Linked DNA regions of Schizosaccharomyces pombe. The gene in region 4 interacts genetically with the main gene of each other region. Each region holds a gene or a part of one and is shown on either strand. Other genes may lie near its edges.

Region 1 (5,560 bases), 960 kb from region 4:
AGCGTTTTCTGCCCCCCAATGTCCCCTTGAATTAGTAAGCTTAAGACTGTTCATTTCGAAAATTGCAAGCTACGTACATATCGTGAATCGGAGTCCTTCTACTTCAAGCGTTCGAATTTGAAAGCCAAAGGTAGGCGAAACTTCATTTACCTATCAATCGATAAATTATGGAGCCTTAAAAGATACTTACATCCTCGTTCAACAGGCACTTCAAAATTGTCGTTTTACCTGCATTATCCAACCCCCTAAAGTCATTAGATTTCACTCTGTATATATTTGAATCATCTTACAGTAACAAAACCCTGACTTCTCGTTCCTTTAGCTTTTGCTGTCTCAAAATAGTCAATAATCCCATTTCTCAATAGTAGAGTAACCAAGAAATAAGAAAATATGCGATGAATTTGCCTTGCATTGCGTTACTCAACAAGGGCTTAAGCTATCAACTTTATAGAAAGATATTACTGTTTTACGAACGATTGAACAGAATAAATTCAAACTACATGTTGTCTTTTAAATATAGCACAATACATAAATCGTTATTAACTATATCTATTACATAATGAATTTAGATAATTTCTTCATAAAGGTAGTATCCTTCTAATAGGAGAATGTTAATGACTGGGTGAAATTTGATGCTGCTTGGAGGATGACTTTATTAAATTTGGCCAAAGATTGTTGCATTTTTCGGCATCAATGTTTGAAAAAACCCGTTTAAAAACATCATCATACCATGCAACAGGGACACCAGTTAAACCTTCTTTAACATAATCAGGAAGTTGTTCCCAATCGGCTAAGTTACTTTTTGGAAATAGTATTTCTTTCATACCAGATAATTTGGCAGCAACCGTCTTTTCTCGTAAGCCACCAATGCGTAAAATTTTACCGGTCAAGGTTAGCTCACCAGTCATGGCAGTAGTCGCTGGTACCGGAGTATCCAATGCTAAAGAAAGTAAAGATGTAGCCATTGTGATACCTGCTGATGGGCCATCCTTAGAAATGGAGCCTTCGGGACAATGCATATGCAAACGCGCATGTTCAAAAAATTTATTATTTGGAAAATGCTTAGACAAAAAGCTTTTTGAAAAGGAATACGAAATTTCAGATGACTCTTTCATCACATCTCCCAGTTGCCCCGTCCTTTCCAAAGAGGGAGTAGAATTGGATGATAAAATGTTTTTAACAATAGTTTCTACATACATCGAAACACCTCCCATGGGTGTCCAACCAAGTCCCATGACAACACCAGGAGGAGTAGTGTCATAAAGTCGCTGAGAAGTATAAATGGGGGGACCCAAATATTTAGTCAAGTCCTTTTCTTCAATCTCGATATTAACTTTATCGGGAACTTTTAACGGAACAGATGATGCTTCTTTGTTTGCTGCATCTTCTGATGATTGAGGAGATGTTTTCTTTCCCGACTTACCCGTAGACTTCTCTTTAGAATTTAATTCATCGTCAATTTCTTTAACAATACTAAAAGATGTTTTACGAAATATTTTCTCAATAGATTTTTTCAAATTTCGTACACCGCTTTCATGAGCATAGTAACTAATTAAACCCTTAATAGCGTCATCACTGATATTCACATTAGCATCCTTTAAACCACAAGCAGCTTTGGCTTGGGGTATAAGATAACCTTTAGCAATGTTAACTTTTTCAGCTGAAACATATCCAGATAGTTCAATAACCTCCATACGATCCAACAAAGGTGGAGGAATAGTATCAATGGTGTTCGCCGTGCAGACAAATAAAACAGATGAAACATCGAGTGGAATATCCATATAGTAATCTAGGAAAGCTGAGTTCTGTTCTGAATCTAAAAGCTCTAAAAGTGCACTCGCAGGATCCCCTTGATGACTTTTGCCCACTTTGTCTATTTCATCAATAAGAATCAAAGGGTTCTCAGTTTGCACCTTTTTCAAAGCTTGCACAATTTTTCCAGGCATTGCTCCGATATAGGTACGACGATGTCCTTTGATTTCAGCGACATCAGTCAGACCGCCCACACTGAAGCGAAAGAATTCCCTGTTTAAGGCAGATGCAATAGATTTTCCAACAGAAGTCTTACCGACACCTGGCGGACCAACTAAACACATAATCTTTCCTTGCATAGTTCCTCTTAGCTTACCTACAGCTACTAACTCAAGAACACGATCCTTAACATCTTTAAGCCCATAATGATCTCGATCAAGGACTTCCTTTGCATGATCTAAATCGAAATTTTCAACAGACCTCTTTCCCCAAGGAAGTTGGGTTATCCAGTCCAAATAATTACGAGTAATGTTAAATTCAGCAGCCATTGGTTCTAAATGCTGAAATTTGGACAGTTCATCATTGAAAACCTTTTTCACGTGATCAGGCATACTCAAGCTTTCAGTTCGTTTCTTGAACTCAGTTACTAATGCTTCTTTGCTATCAAGTTCTTGTCCAAGTTCTCTTTTAATTTGCTTTAGCTGTTCGGTTAAAAGATATTCTTTATGGCGTTGAGTTATCTTCTGCTCAATTTCCTTGTTAATTTTATGCTGAAGTTGGGCATTCAATAGTTCCTTTTTTAGTACATACAAAGCCTTTTGCAAACGATCTCCTATATTTGTAGCTTCTAAAACCTCCTGTAATTCGCGATGATCTGCAGCCGAAACAGCGGCAGCAAAATCTGCCAATTTAGCAGGTTCATCAAAAACATTGCCAGACGTTTGCGATATTGAAAAATTGGCAATTTGTTCACGAAAGAGGGGACTAACGTTTGCAATATCTTTGAAAACATTCATAATCTCAGACGTTACCGCCTTAATTACAGGATCCTGTCGTTTAAAAGGTTCATTAGGAACGTTTTCGACATTAACAAGAGAGACTTTAAAGTTTTGAAGAATTGAGGGTGTGCTTTCAACTTCCTTTTCAGGTTCCTCTTTCCCATTGTCTTGTTTGAGATCAGACTTAACTTCTCCATTGGAAGAAAGATTAGAGCTTTTATCGGTTTCAAGTTCTGCTGCGTCTGAAGAAGCAGCGCTATCAGCATCCTCTTTTGGAGGTATCAGTTCAGTTATTCGTATCCTACGGTGAGGGTATAAAACAGCAGTCAATGCAGGTTCACTACCACTTTTTGCTGGAAAAATACTGGTGATTTGAGCGAAAACACCGACCGGGTAAACCTGATCAATGTTCGTTATAACATCGGTATCAGTGTTTTCATCCTTCAACAAAAACGCGCCGATATAAGGTTGTCTCTTTTTAATCAGTTCTTTAATGGCCTCTGAAACAGAGGGATTTTTGGTAACTATGGCTTTATAAAAACCAGGGAAAAGAGGTCGTCGCGCAATGGGTAACGCAAGTAATTGAGGATACACATCAGGAACCGAATATTTGGCCGGAACATTTTTATTAAATTCCCCATTTAAAGGCATTTCATCCTCATTTTCTTCACCACCTAATTCAAATTCGTCATTTTTAGACTTAGAAGCTTGTGTAGCAGAATACTTTTCCTCAGTCTTATTTGAAGAAGATTTCAAATTTTGCTTAAAATCGTCATTATCCTTTTTTTTCTTTTTATCCGTAGATGGCAAAGATTCGTTGGTATGTGACTCATCTTCATTATGTGTCTTTTTGGGATCGTTTTTGTTATCCAGTGGTTTGTTATCTTTTGGTTCTTTACTTTTGAAAACAACATTTGAAGTACGAAAAGGTCCGACTGAGCATTTTAAAACCCTCTGTGTAGTGGAAAAACTAGCAAGCAAAGACCGATGAACCAAATGTTCACGAGGCCAATTTCTTTTAGCACCTGATCGCCTCAAGCAAGCGCCCGATAAACGTGTAATCATGGGCCTGTACGAATTTAAATTACAAACTGGCACAAAGAACGTTTCGGGCTATTATTAATTTTCTGGCGTATTTAAAGGTAGTTGGTAATTGCTGAGTTAGCTGGTAAGTCGCCGTCACATAATGAGCGCAAAGAGGGAATTGGCTTACTTGCCTCCAACCTCCAATGCTATTAAATAAACCATTCAAGCATTTAATACAATACTCATTATAAAGGAAAAAAATTAAAGTTTCCAATTTTTTCGGCTTCAAATAGTTCAACAGATGAGATATCGAAGCGTTGCAATAGTTTCACTTACTTTACCGCATTAACTTTTATTTTAAATAATTAAGATACCGATCGCTTATCAAATTTTAACCAAAATTTCATTACTAATAATAAGATAATGCTGTTAAGAGCTGAAAACAGCGACGATTGTTTAATTTAATTGTATGAATGGAAACTCACATGCATAAATTGAATCAGTGTAAAAAAACTCAGAAAGCTTCTCATTACATAAGTCTTAGCTGTTCAATTCAAAACATTGAAAGAGCGCATAGCATTTACAGGATATGTAATGATACGTTGCAGAATCAATCGTGTCATATTGCTGCGTAGTATAACATTGTTATTAAAAAACCAAAAGAAACTGTCTTTAGTAGCGTGGCTTGCACACATTAAGAACGTTGAGTTATTTAAGTCAAGATATTTTTAAATTCGAGGGTAAGCTGATAAAGCATTGAAGGATAGAGACTTATTAAATGACTAGATTGTATTCTTTTTACAGATTTTTAAATATTACTAGCATGTTCAGGTAGGAATTGTCGTAAAGTTTGAATCTGAGATTCTTCTTTTTCCGCTAGATCAAGACGCTCAGCCTTGCGAAACTGTTCAATAGCTTGTTTACGCTTTTTTATGTTTTTTTTAAGTACTCGCAGAACGTCTAAGTCTGTAGTAACTGGCTTACTCGACTTGTTTGCATATTCGATTTCCGAGAGAAATACCTAAGCTTGTTAGCGTCATATTCATCTACAAACATAGATAACATAGTTCTGACAGCCTCTTCACATTGCTTGAACACTGATGCAATTTAACATGTAGACCGTCACGTTTTATTTCCAACGTACTTTTAAAGTAGACGCAACATCTTTTTGCCTAGATTTCATGGAATCCAGCAATTTTTTACGAATAACTGCTTGAAGATTTGGGATTGCTGAAGCGTTAGCAAATAAATGACTATTCCTAAGTTTGCTTACATGTACTATTATAGCGTAAGTATTGTACATTACGAATAGCTATCCTTGATGTGTGTACTAAGCGTTGATTAAACATTGAATTCTTTTTCTTGGATTATGTTTTCAGGTCAGACCCAAAAATTCCCCTAAAGGTGGTGTAGCGCAGAAAGTATTTGGTAGTAGGATTATCCCATTTTGTTTGGAGATGTGGAAACTAAAATATGCGAAATCGCTCATTGACAGTGAGGTAACTCCATCAATTTAGCAATATTTATTTATTAGTACAAACTGATTTTAAGATTGATTGCGAAAATGAGACATTTGCTTTCGGTAGATTTTACAATTAAATTAATGGTTATTCAAAATCAAAATTGAAAAACAAGCAATACAGTGCCGGGTAATAACACTTACGCCTACAATTAGGTCCTGCTACCTAAGACCTATAATTTAGTTTCCCTATTAACAGAAATGCTTTATAAAGACCTCATCTTAATATGTTAACAAAAGATAGTTATTAATAGTCTCATTTATT
Region 2 (4,037 bases), 2.5 Mb from region 4:
GATTGTTAATTTTCAAAAAGAGTTTGTAGAAACTTTAAAAATACCCGCAAGGTACATATCAAATCTAACAAAAATACCACTTTAATGATCTAATGCTAACGAATATAGAATTTTGAATATGCCAACTGCGGAATTGGGATCTTCGGCCTCTCAAAAATATGACATCGAAGCGTGGATGCCAGCGCGACAATCATACGGGGAGATAACTTCAGCATCTAATTGTCTTGAATACCAAGCTAGGCGTCTACTCACACGATATCGAAATGACAAAGACTCGGGTTTTGTTCACACACTGAACGGCACAGCAGCTGCCATCCCTAGGTTAATAATAGCTATCCTTGAAAATCACCAACAAGAGGATGGCACTGTTAAAGTTCCGGAAACCCTTGTCCCTTACATACACAAGGAATACCTTTTTAAAGCAAAATAATTTTAGTACATCATAAGTCTTACTTACAACTAATTATTTAAGAAGGTTATACTAAAATTGATAATATATTTTGGACCAAAATAAAATTAGCAATTAACCTAAAACCTGTTCTGTCATAAGACAATCTATTTAATATTTTCACTCTTCACGTCACTGTCTTTTAAACCTTTTTTACGTTTATATCTTTCATTGACGACCTCCACTGATTCCTGACGTTGTCTAGAAAGAATTGGGATGTACTTTTTTGTTCGCTTCAGCAATCCTTCACCAACGTTCATAGTACTGCTTGACTCTTCCGATTTGCCATATCTTTTTACATTATGATCTGCTATGTCAAGCATAAACGAAGCTATCTGCTCTCGAATACGTAGACTATGCCACTGATGATATATGGTTTCATATGTATGTTTAGCGATACGAGGAGCAGTCGTAGGACTATCCGTAGGTAGTGTCCATTCAATATTATCAAAGTCACAGTCGTACAAAATCAAAGGATACTCACTTGCCATATCATAAATTGGCTTAGTAGGGACCTTTTTAATATCCAAAAGATCATTGATGAGAGAGGCCGGCTCAAGCTTTTGACCAATTAAAAATAGAATGGCCATCATACATCGTACCTGATGCCATAAAAATGCAGTTCCTTGTAGGTCAAAAGCGTAAAGACCGGTACTGGGATCAATGCAAATAACCTTTGAACTGAGAATTCGACGGTGATAATTTGTAATTTGTTTAGAAGCATCTATTTTGCAAAAATTTCGAAAGTCATGCTCACCTAGATAAAGTGCTGCGGCTTCATTCATTCGATCAATGTCAAGAGAACCACCGGGATAATCCTTAGTAAACAAGTATTTATAATGACGCTGTTTACAGGAAAATCGAGCATCAAAGCCTTCTGGTGGAAATGCATAGCCAGTAATACGTATATCTGCGGGCAACAGGCGATTCAATACATCACAATATATGATAGGTCTTCTTTCTGAATGTCGTACATTTAATGATATAACCTGACCCATGGCTGAAACTCCCTTATCAGTACGTCCACATCGACTAAAGGAACATGATGAAGGATCAGTGATGAGATGAGCTCTCAACAGCGCTTCAAACACCTTTCCTTCAACAGTGGGCAAAGGAGTCGGTTCTAACTGGTAGGCAAGACCATTGTAATTCCAACCACAATAGGCAAATTTAAAAGCAACAAAAACTGTTTTTTCTAGTTGAAACGGTCTGACAGGTTTCAGTTTTGGAAGACTACTTGCGTCCTGAAGCGCATGTTGCAAAACTAGTTCTTGGCTCAGATGCTGGGGTTCTATTTCATTTCCATTATCCAATTTGTTTTTATTTTTAATTACTTCATTTTTCCCCTCAATTTCTTTATTGGGAAGTGAATTTGTATTTTTTTGCAATTTCCCGTCCAATTCTAAAATTCTGGATATTAGCTGGTCTCGAGACCATCCAGCATATTTGGAGGCGGGCATTCGAAGGATTTTAGAAAATTGAAAAATCTTGCCTGAATTATATTGCCAATTTAATTACTGCCTTTGACGAGGTCAGGTGGCAGACGAATAGGTTCGCAAGGCTCTGATAATTAATGACTTGCTTGTCATAAGAGGCAGACATTTTCGCAGTAAAGTTATAAATCATCTATGTAACATTGAGAATTTATCAGATATATTTTTAGTTGCTCATTAGTACAACAGCTTTGGGATTCTGTATGGTCAGTTTGCAGTCTTGTTGGGCCAGCTGGAACTGTTACTAAAATATTGAGTTCACTTTACATTACGAGCAATGAAAATTATAGAAGCTTAGATTAACACAGCTACTTTCGAGATGATTCGTATTCCTTATAGTTGCATTGTAGACTTCCAATAAAGAAAGTGCATTTCCCGTTATGCAATTGATTTACTAGATAGTTCTTTAATATCAACATTATTGAAAATCACCTCTTTGTTGAGTCAACTCAATACTTAATATTTTTTTAAAGAATAAAATTCGCTACTGAATGTCGGTTGCTAATGAACAAAGCAATTGCTTCTACGAACTAATTTGTTAATTTTTTTTACTAAGCATTTCAATAGTTTGCCTTGTTAACGTATTTTTTATGTTCCTTGACATTTTTAATTTTAGTTTCTTCGTCTGCTACTAAACACGTTCACCTAAATCAATACTTGTTAAATTTAGCTGCAACACCGACATAAAAATTTATTTCATTACCTATAGTTACATTGAAACCGGTAGAAGGTTGTTTTTTGGTTCAAGAGTGACGTTTCGCTTATATTTTTTTTACTTATGTCGTTTTTAAAAAATCTCTTCAAGAAGAAATCCCCAACTCATGAATTATTCCATCCTTTATCGCGTTCTCCCTTAACGGCTCTTCGCCGTCGCTCTGAGCATATCAAACAAGTCTATCGGTGTCCAATTTCGGGAAAGTCAGTGGAATATGAGTGTCCTGAATCTGGATTTCCTACTCATTGTAATAGAACTCATTGGGAACAGGACAAGATTCACCAATCCCTTATCCCAAAACTACGCCAAATTAATGAAGACTATCATGACTTAGCACGACCAAACCCTTTGCCGGAACTACTCAAACTTCCTGGACCCATGGAAGAAGATGAAGTAGTTTCTCTTCTGTCATGGGATTCATTCTTCTATACCCGCGATTTCCCAAAGTTCCAATCGTCTAGAACTGCTAGACATATTACTAGTTTATTAACATATCCCATGTCAATCGGCGCTATCCTTCACAAGAATTCTCCTTATAATTTAAAAAATGGGTTAACTCCCCAGGGTCTACAATCATTAACTGCTCTACGATATATGCTTCATCGTCCTTTGTCTGCTCAATCTACTGATCCCAGACCCACTAGAATTTTCGTTTTGGGTGCTACCAAAGAATGTTCATTACCACCATCAATTTGGTTACAAGGATTGAACTTTTTGTTCCCAGGTCGTTTATTTCAATTGCATTTTATCGGACCTGAAGTTGTTGTTCCTTCTAAGCAACCCAATTTGCCTTCCCCACTCAGCCTTCATTTTCATCAGGATTACTACCACAATTTGCATAGAGTTGGAGCCTTTGAGCCTTTTGACCCCTACTATGATACTTTTTTTCTTCCGATGCCTCTTATAAGTCATCCACTTTATTCTTCATCGTGGATTCCGACACTTCACGATTTGGTATCGACTCGTTGCTCTGTATGGCTCACAAGTCCTTCATCTCAAAGAACAACCAAAGATTTGGAAGTTCTTAATAATGTTTTGAAAGATTCAATTGAGCCCTTGTTATTGCCAACTGTTAATAAATTTGCCAGCTTAGGCTGGTCTGTTGATGATTCAAACCTTCATGAAGTTTATCACGCAAATCAAGAAGTATTTGGATTCAGAGCCCTTTATTATAATGTCCAAAATGTTTCCAAAGAGTAATTCTTGTCCGTTAAGTCGTCTACCATCTTCCAATTTCATATTCTAATCTAAAAGCAATCTATTAATGAATTTTAAGGTCCAAATTTTGGATTGTGAATAAACAAAATATTAGTATATATGTAATGATTATCAATTACGAATTTTGAAAAGAAGACATGCCACCTTATGTCAAAACAAGCTA
Region 3 (4,186 bases), 3.1 Mb from region 4:
ATCTGATTTGTTATTTTGTGGGCATCACTTCTGTATTCATGTATTATTAATGAAACTTACTTAGTTTTCATTTATGTCTCTCTGTGTACTATTAATTTAATTCAAAAAATTCAGAAATGACCTGTCAAAATAGCCTCTTATGAATGCGGTTAATGTATGAGTTATTGACTGATAAAAAAACTAGATGCAGGCACCCTTGCTAAATTAATCAATGATGATGATGATTATTTTATTTTATAGCTTGACATTCGTTCTTTTTTTTAACCTTTTATTAATAATGGGTTAAATTATAACATCATATCGACTGGGGATGTAGTTTAGGGGTATAACGTTTCATTCGCATAGTTCGCACCTTGAAAAGGTCCCGGGTTCGATTCCCGGCATCTCCAATGTTAGAAACTATTTTTCCTTTTTATCCACATTTGTTTTATTTATTGACTACACGGCAAACAGGTTACATACACAAATGTATACTAGAAAAAATATAAAAGTGAATTTACTAATATAAGTAAGATGAGAACATTCTCTCAATGAATACACAAAAAATTTAAATCTATGACTTTGAGGAAGTAGTTAAAATAAATTTGTTCATGTAGCTAGCATAAATCATCGGCGTTAGAAAAAGCGGTGTAAGAATCATGTAAGTTCGAAATGTAAGTTTCTTCAGGAGAAGAATTTAGCATTTTGTGCAAATGAATTAAAGTATCTAAAGCGTTAACATATTAACAATAATTATTATATTCAAAAATTTACCAGAAAACGTAGAAAGTCCATCGATAAACAAGGTTTTTTTTATTCTTTCGAAATGCGATTTACAAGCATCTGCTGTCCATAGGTGATTAGCATATTCTGATAAGCATTTCCAATCAATCATCCGTTCCTCTGCAACATTAAGGTCCATCATTCTGAATTTAATTAGCTTCTTATTTAAAATTTTATAATTGGAGTACCTTTCAATTAACCATATACTATCGCCAAGTTTGAAAGGGGAACTATTATGTATATCTCTGGAAATTAGTGTGTAATACTTCCACCTACAATGATGACGGTGTCGATTTCTCATGTTTTTAGAAATTAGACTCCATTGAATAGGGGATGAAGGATTGCTTTGCAAGTATTGATTAACCGTTTTGATTAATTTTTCTTTCTCCTGGATAGTCCATGGTGAACGATTGATTTCACCAGGTTGAATGTAGTCGCGCCAATGATCTCTGCAATGCATTGGTAGTCTATTCGACAATTTGCCAATTAAGCTCCAGGATGTTCCATGTTTTTCAACAAGTCTATTAGTTAGTTGCAATTTGGAAAGTAAACTACATACTTTTTCAATTCTGCCTCATCTTCTATAGTCCATTTACATTTTTTCTTAAATGGATTATATTTTCTGCGGAGATAATTGTAAATACTCTTTTTATCCCTATCGATAAGCTCATCTATTATTAATTAGTAACAAGTGATAGTAATTGACTTACACAAACAATTATATAATGTTTTCATTTCATCACGATGGTTATCAGACCAAACATATTGAAGAAATTGTTCATCAGACCAATTTTTTTTCTGTTTTTTAATATTTATAATAAAACAGCAAGCTAAAGACCATACCTTTTTAAACATAGCAATTTCTTTTTCCAAAGTGATAATGTCGTTTGCTCCCCATGATCCAGACGACGCTTTTTTAACGTATTGAAACCTTTCATAACCTGGAATGTTAAAATATCCCTTAAGATGCCTATACACAGTCCTTCGTGAAACATTGGGCACTTGAATTTCTAGACTTGAATTAGCGGATTTTTTTGAAAGCACTCAGGTGTCATACGAAATTGAATGAGTAAATTATTGAAAGGTTTTGGAAGTCTTTTGGTTTTAATAAGAAGATCTCTCGCAGCCACAAAGTTTAATTCGCTTTCTTTCAAAAATTCATCAATTAGTTGACTTAACAGAACCCAAAAAGTGGGTGTCCAGTTGGTGTAATCTCTACTGAATACAAAGTCTTTATATGAAGTAGTGCCTGTTTTTTTGAAGCCTCGACATGTTTCATGGTCTTTCGCACTTCCAGCAATTGCTGTTTTCACATTTTCAGGTGATACCATAGTCTCATCATAATTGTATTCATGAAAGCTTATGGGGTTTCCCAAGTAAATGAAAGAACTTGTATTTTTCGAGTCACCAATGGGTGATAAGAGTTGATCATCGACAAAGAGCTCTTCATTGTCCTCTGTATCCGGTCTGCAACTTAAATTGTTTTTTCCTTGCATAATAATGTTCACTTGTCTGAAGAAATATTAAGAAAAAAACATTGACAAAAGGTAATCAGTATAGCAAGGGACCCGGGGTGTAATAGTTCATGTAAGACAAAACCAAATAGCGCAGGCAACTTCAATTATTCAATCTATAATTGAACTTTTGATACTTTGCAATTCTGAATTCTAATTAACTAGTGAGCCTGTTAAAATTGGGTAACATTATAGAGCGTTGGTGTAGCTAAATAGTGTACGATACATGCAGTGATGGTTTTTGAGAGCATTTTTAAAAAAATTTCAAAATTTCTTAAGATGTGACTCTCTTGTTTATGATATATACATGTAAAATTTTTAAAATAGAAAATTAAGTATGAGTGGTTTAGAAGAGTTTTTTTAGTTGAAAACGTTTACAGGTATCTGCCTCATATCAAACTTAAAAAAAAAAAAGAATAAATTAAAACGATAAAATATCTCTATTGGCTTTTGTTTACTAATAATCACTATTTTTTATCAATTAGGTACAAAGTTCCTGCCTATGTTAAAATTATTAGGGTAATAACGTGTGTCACCGATATAATTACTACGATACATAGTATTTAATAACGAAACTGTAAAGCTCGTTAACTTTCCAGTGATTACCTTAACTTTCCATCTACGTTAGTTGAACCAGCGAATGTAGCTGCCATTTACCTACTCCAGGGAACACTGTTAAAAACGTCTTTTTGTGAAAAGGAAGGAAAAATAGAGGGATCTTCAAAAAAGTTATTAAATAATTCAGTGTTTCTTTTCTTTTTTTTGCTAGCAATATACCACTGTAAGTAAAAAAAAATACACTAAAGCAATGAGTCAGGAGGACGCTTTCTACGGAAAGGGTAGTTATGGAGCTAGTAGTGGAAATTCGAATATACCTCCTCAAGGATTTCAGCCAGTTTATCCAGTTGCTGGCCAGCTAGATAATACCGCTCCTTATGTCGGGGCAGTTGCTGAGGGTACAGCTGAAGGCATTGTAAGCAATGGTGAATACGCTGTTGGAGCTATGGGTGCTGCTCCTACCAACATAATAGGATCTGTCGATCAACAACCACCCGTTTCTCATACCTCTCATAAGTCTCGTAGACAGTATCCTGCTGAGGTGTTTGAACTTACAAATACCTTAGCAGCGTCACCGGCTCCCCCTTCTCTTTCAGAGCCCTCTTACGTTATGGCACGAACTCCATCCTCTTCACCATATCCTCATGATCGCGCAGAGGTGGGAACTAAATCTCTCTCTGCACAATTTGGCGGAATGTCACTTGGAGCAGATGGTGCAGCAGCTATGCCTACCAATGAGTTAGTTTCTGTTGATTTGTACAATCAAACACCAGAAATTTCTGACTTAACCTCTCCTCCTCCTCCTATTAATTTACCCTTAAGCTATTCCGCTACTGGAGCAGCTACTTCCAATTGCCCTCCCAAATATGTTCGATCCACGATAAACTGTGTACCGACAACAAATAGCTTGTTAAAAAAGTCAAAAATTCCATTTGCATTAGTCATCCGTCCATATACTAGCTTGGTCGAAGAAGATGATCCAGTTCCAGTTGTTACTGATACTATTATATCACGATGCCGCAGGTGTCGTATGTATATCAATCCTTTTAGTATCTTTATTGACAATGGCCATCGCTATCGCTGTAATTCTTGTGGTATTGTTAATGAAGTACCCCAGTCATATGACTGGGACAGTTTCAGAAATGTCCAACGTGATCGCTGGCAACGTCCTGAGCTCAATTATGCAGTTGTTGATTTTATTGCTCCTCAAGAATATATGGTTCGTGCTCCACAACCTTTGGTTTACGTATTTTTAATTGATATTTCGTTTGTATCCATATCTTCTGGTATGGTTGGTACTGCAAGTCGTGCAATTCTGGAATCATTGGATCGCATCCCCAATAAAGAAGGAC
Region 4 (4,061 bases):
TATAAAAAAACTAAATCAATCTTACTCTTTTGGTCACTGGTGGTCTATGACCTTTTACAGTAACCCCACAGTTCAATCTGAGATACAGAGGATTCTGAGACTTGAACCTTCGGTTCTTCGCTATATGATCGTCAAAAAAGCAGATAAGTATGTTCTTTTTATAAACTATTTTATTATACTAATTCCTTTTGTGTAGATTGAGTGATTTAATGTAGAATGAGCGTATTCATATTTTGAGAAAATAAAAATATTCGCAGAGCTGTCCAATTATCTTTTATTATTCTTGTTTTTTTGGGGTTTTTTCTTCTTTTCTTCTTTTATAAAATAAACATACTTTTCCAGAGCTAAAATGTGAAATTTCAACCGTTGTTAACGACTCCTTGTGTTTCAACTTTTTCCGATCTTCTTTGTATAATACTATGTCCCTAAATTTCATGGGAGATAGATTAAAAAAAAGAACTGTTAAAATATTTAAACGACAGGTACTGATATTATGTCCTTTAGACATATCTTGCTTTTATTTATTGGTTTAATACAATGTTGGTTAAAGGCGATAGTGAAGTTTTGAATGTGGAGTGTTTTATGCCGAATTTATGGCTTGGGTTTAGGTTTTCGTTTGAAATCACCGCTTCACGTAGCTTAGCGGCACATGAATCTAAACGAGTTGGTAATGTTTGTCTAGGATCGCTATACCCGTGCTGCTGTATAGATTGTATTAGAGGTTGAGGCCATTCCTGATGATACTCTAAAATTTGTGGTTCAGTAGCCATTGGAATTGTTAGAGAGGGCGATGGAACAACTGGAGGGTAAGATTGGCTAAATATAGCACTCAGTCGCTTTTTGCGATCTTCTCTCTTTTCTGCATAATTCACGAATAATCTTTTCTTTCCGAATAACACTCCATTTAACGTGTTAATTGCTTGCACAGCTTCAAATGGATGACTGAAGGATACGAAACCATAGCCTTTGGATATTTCTGTACTGGGATACGACGCTAAAGTGCAAGATTTTATCCTTCCAAATTTCGAAAACAGTTCTTCTAATTGTTGTGTGTTTCCTACTATATTATCATCCAAGTTTTTAACAAATAAATTACAAGGATCAATTGTCGGTGTTGAGGTTGGTGTTGGCGTTACTGTCGTTTCATACGATGTTTGGAAAGAAGGGAATGAAATAAATGGATTTGGCAAAGCAGAAGTTTTGGCAATCACTGGAATTTCAAACGGCTGAGGCATTTCCATATTTGGGGGCAATAAATTTGTCATGGTTCCTTCTGGGTGATTTAACAAATTAGAGCAAAATCCCTGAACAGGTTGTTTTATAAAAAGTTGTAAAATGGATCCTTCATACGCAATGGCGTGAAATTTTTCAATGATCTAAATTAAAAGGTCAGTAATGCTATAGCAAAAAATAGCTTGCTTAATACCTCTATGCAACTTTCATAGGTGCTCACAGCCACTTCTGCGTAGTGAGTCATATCTTCATTTATGCTTTGATTGATGGCTACACCGAGAATGTGACCATGATTGCTAAACTCATTGTAAAGCTCGACTGGTGATACTTTCAACGGAAGGTTTAAAATCCCAATCACAAAAATAGAAGGGTTGTCGTACAAAAATTGGGGATTCTGTTCTAGAAGCATACCTGGCATCATTTGACAGGGTTCAAAAGCAGATTTTAGGTGTAAATGTTCCGTGTTATTTTCCTTATATGGCTCAATAAAAGTGTTAGAAATGGACGGTGTATTATTATCTTTGCAATTTGGCCTGATAGACAGATGCTTTGGCTCATTCTCCGTGAAATCTGAAACTAAGAGTGTTTGAACTGCTTTTGAGCTAAGTATACTAGTTCCTGTTGCTTCTGCAAATGCATTCTCTTTGTCGTGCACTTTTGGGGGGTTTGATTGAACTAAATTTGAGGTATTCATCGAATATTCCTTTTTGTCTTTGGTACTAACTCGAACCTCTGATACTGTCGGTCGTGTTTCCTTTGTATACTTTTCTATTTTTGAAAACCGAATTTTTGCTTTTTCATTATTCGAGTGATGAATTTGGTCAACTCCATTTTCCAACTTATTTTTGTATCTCTCCACGATATGCGTATACTCGACCTTCCTATAATTGTTGCTCTATTAGCGTTTATTATTTTAAAATCTACGTACAAAGTATTTCCTTGGAACGAACTCCCGTTTAAGGAGGCAATTGCGTTGTCAGCGCTACATTTGTTTTCAAATGTGATAAATGCAAATAAAGTTGGGGATTTAGAGTCAGTACTCTTATTCTTCTTTCTACTTAGCATGTGGAATTTTGAGAAATTACCTTAAACAGTTAGAGAAAAAATTGTTTATTCATATACGATTACCGAAAGGTTCAAACAGTTCATGAAGATCTGAGCTTTGGCACGTTGAAGGTAAATTCCCTACGTAAATGGAAATTTCACACTTCTTAGTGCTCCTTTTGTTCTTTTCTGAAAGTTTTTCAAGTGCAATCATTGTGATGTGTCTAGTTGGTAATTATAGAATTCGGAATTCTCAATGTAAACAAAAGTAAACAGGAAATTACCGCAATGTTAGCTGTTCATAAGCAATTTAATGTAGTATCCTATATTTCGTAAAGCTTTAAGGTAATCGCATAGTATGTGCTATTTTAAATTGTGAAACTTACTACACAGCCTTTATTACATATTTGTCTCAGCAACCCTCTGTGGTATAGGTGAACCACAAACTAATTTTAATTTCTCAAACCTATGCTTGAAATTCTATGGGCTAACATTACTCCAATTCAAACCTTTGTCTCCAGTAATCATTTAACTATGCTTTATGGGCTCAAACGGTTTGGATGTCGCCTTTATCATCATAGCAAATCTACACGATACATTGACGCTACAGCGAAAGTAGTCTCTCAAGAGCCTGCTGCCATTAGCAGTACTGGAGCTATTCCATTAAATTCTCCAGCGGCCCCTTTATTATCACAAGATGTTCTTATAGTAGAGAGGCAACTTGAAATGATGAATGTTTTTCTTGGTTATGAACAGGCTAACCGCTATGTAATTCTTAACCAACAAGGTCAGCATCTTGGATACATTGCAGAACAGGGTGCCTCATCCATATTATCAAGTTTATCAAGACAATTTTTCCACACACATCGTGCGTTTAAGGCAGATGTAATGGACAGTAACGGCCAGTTGGTGTTACAACTCAATCGACCATTTTCTTGGATAAACTCCCGGTTACAAATTCATTCTATTGATTACAGTAAGTTCTCGTCTACTTTAGTTGGCGAAGTCCTTCAAAAATGGCATTTATGGCGCCGTCGCTATGAATTGTTCCTTGCGAAGCGTTCTATGTTTGAACAGTTTGCCAAAATTGATGAGCGAGTGCTAAGTTGGGAGTTTCTGTTGCGAAACGAGCAGGATCGCATCCTAGGTAGTGTTTCACGGAATTTCATGGGGCTTCCTCGTGAATTTTTTACTGATACTGGTAATTACGTTCTTCGATTTACCTCTACGAGTGCAGCCAATGGTTCTGTAAATGAAAATCAATTGCTTCAAGCTGCTCATGGAATCGCTAATGATGTTTGTGCACGTGATATGAGTTTAGAAGAAAGGGCAGTTATGCTAGGCAGTGCTGTCACTATTGATTTTGATTATTTTAGCCGTATTCATGGTGGCCCAGCACTGGGACTGAATATTCCGTTTATGTTTGGAGGTTCTTCCTCCAACCACGATTATCCAGCTGAAGACCTGTCTGCTCAGGAAATTTTAAAAAACGACCAGGAAACTACGCCTTCCACCAATGATTCTTCATCTGAAACGAAGTCTCCTTTTTTGTCTGATGCAGACTTGGATCAGCAAGATTTTTGGGATATTTTTGACCGTGACGGGGATGATTGATTGTTCAACTGATTATTATTTATTTATTAACGATATATCCAAAAAGATACTTTTTCTCCTTAAAAAGTTAAATCTGATTAGTCATTACTATTACTGTTTTTATTATTATTATTATTATTACTATCCCTTCTAGTCATTATTTTGTTTTTCTCATAATTTACAACTACTGA

The links.
Region 1: mutations in mug28 (region 4) and lon1 together harm fitness more than expected from each alone (negative genetic interaction), as found in Schizosaccharomyces pombe (one large-scale study listed by BioGRID).
Region 2: mutations in mug28 (region 4) and deg1 together harm fitness more than expected from each alone (negative genetic interaction), as found in Schizosaccharomyces pombe (one large-scale study listed by BioGRID).
Region 3: mutations in mug28 (region 4) and rtf1 together harm fitness less than expected from each alone (positive genetic interaction), as found in Schizosaccharomyces pombe (one large-scale study listed by BioGRID).

The regions. Positions count from the first base shown.
Region 1 is NC_003424.3:692,086-697,645, reverse strand, and holds lon1 (Lon protease), read right to left. Parts: upstream 3,909-5,560; 5' UTR 3,816-3,908; coding exon 612-3,815; 3' UTR 516-611; downstream 1-515. Other genes in the region: GTP-binding protein involved in beta-tubulin folding Alp41, read right to left, coding at 1-25, 78-150, 191-245, 291-355; mitochondrial aspartyl/glutamyl-tRNA amidotransferase subunit B-related Aim41, read right to left, coding at 4,585-4,797, 4,921-5,079.
Region 2 is NC_003424.3:4,160,671-4,164,707, reverse strand, and holds deg1 (tRNA-pseudouridine synthase), read right to left. Parts: upstream 1,990-4,037; 5' UTR 1,909-1,989; coding exon 556-1,908; 3' UTR 501-555; downstream 1-500. Other genes in the region: dia4 (serine--tRNA (Ser) ligase), read left to right, coding at 1-51, 109-430; splicing suppressor Mss51, read left to right, coding at 2,720-3,856.
Region 3 is NC_003424.3:4,796,671-4,800,856, forward strand, and holds rtf1 (RNA polymerase I termination factor Rtf1), read right to left. Parts: upstream 2,458-4,186; 5' UTR 2,259-2,457; coding exon 1,820-2,258; exon of another isoform or gene 1,773-1,819; coding exon 1,606-1,772; intron 1,561-1,605; coding exon 1,473-1,560; intron 1,434-1,472; coding exon 1,322-1,433; exon of another isoform or gene 1,284-1,321; coding exon 951-1,283; exon of another isoform or gene 906-950; coding exon 754-905; intron 707-753; coding exon 597-706; 3' UTR 525-596; downstream 1-524. Other genes in the region: sec24 (coincidence detector Sec24/Sfb2 subunit), read left to right, coding at 3,085-4,186. UniProt on the Schizosaccharomyces pombe protein: Mediates site-specific replication termination at the polar replication barrier RTS1, a barrier which ensures that replication of the mat1 locus in S.pombe occurs in the centromere-proximal direction.
Region 4 is NC_003424.3:1,649,442-1,653,502, reverse strand, and holds mug28 (RNA-binding protein Mug28, implicated in mRNA processing), read right to left. Parts: upstream 2,492-4,061; coding exon 2,362-2,491; exon of another isoform or gene 2,319-2,361; coding exon 2,162-2,318; exon of another isoform or gene 2,115-2,161; coding exon 1,427-2,114; exon of another isoform or gene 1,377-1,426; coding exon 522-1,376; downstream 1-521. Other genes in the region: mrp17 (mitochondrial 37S ribosomal protein bS6m), read left to right, coding at 1-147, 197-215; pls1 (phospholipid scramblase), read left to right, coding at 2,746-3,891. UniProt on the Schizosaccharomyces pombe protein: Has a role in sporulation.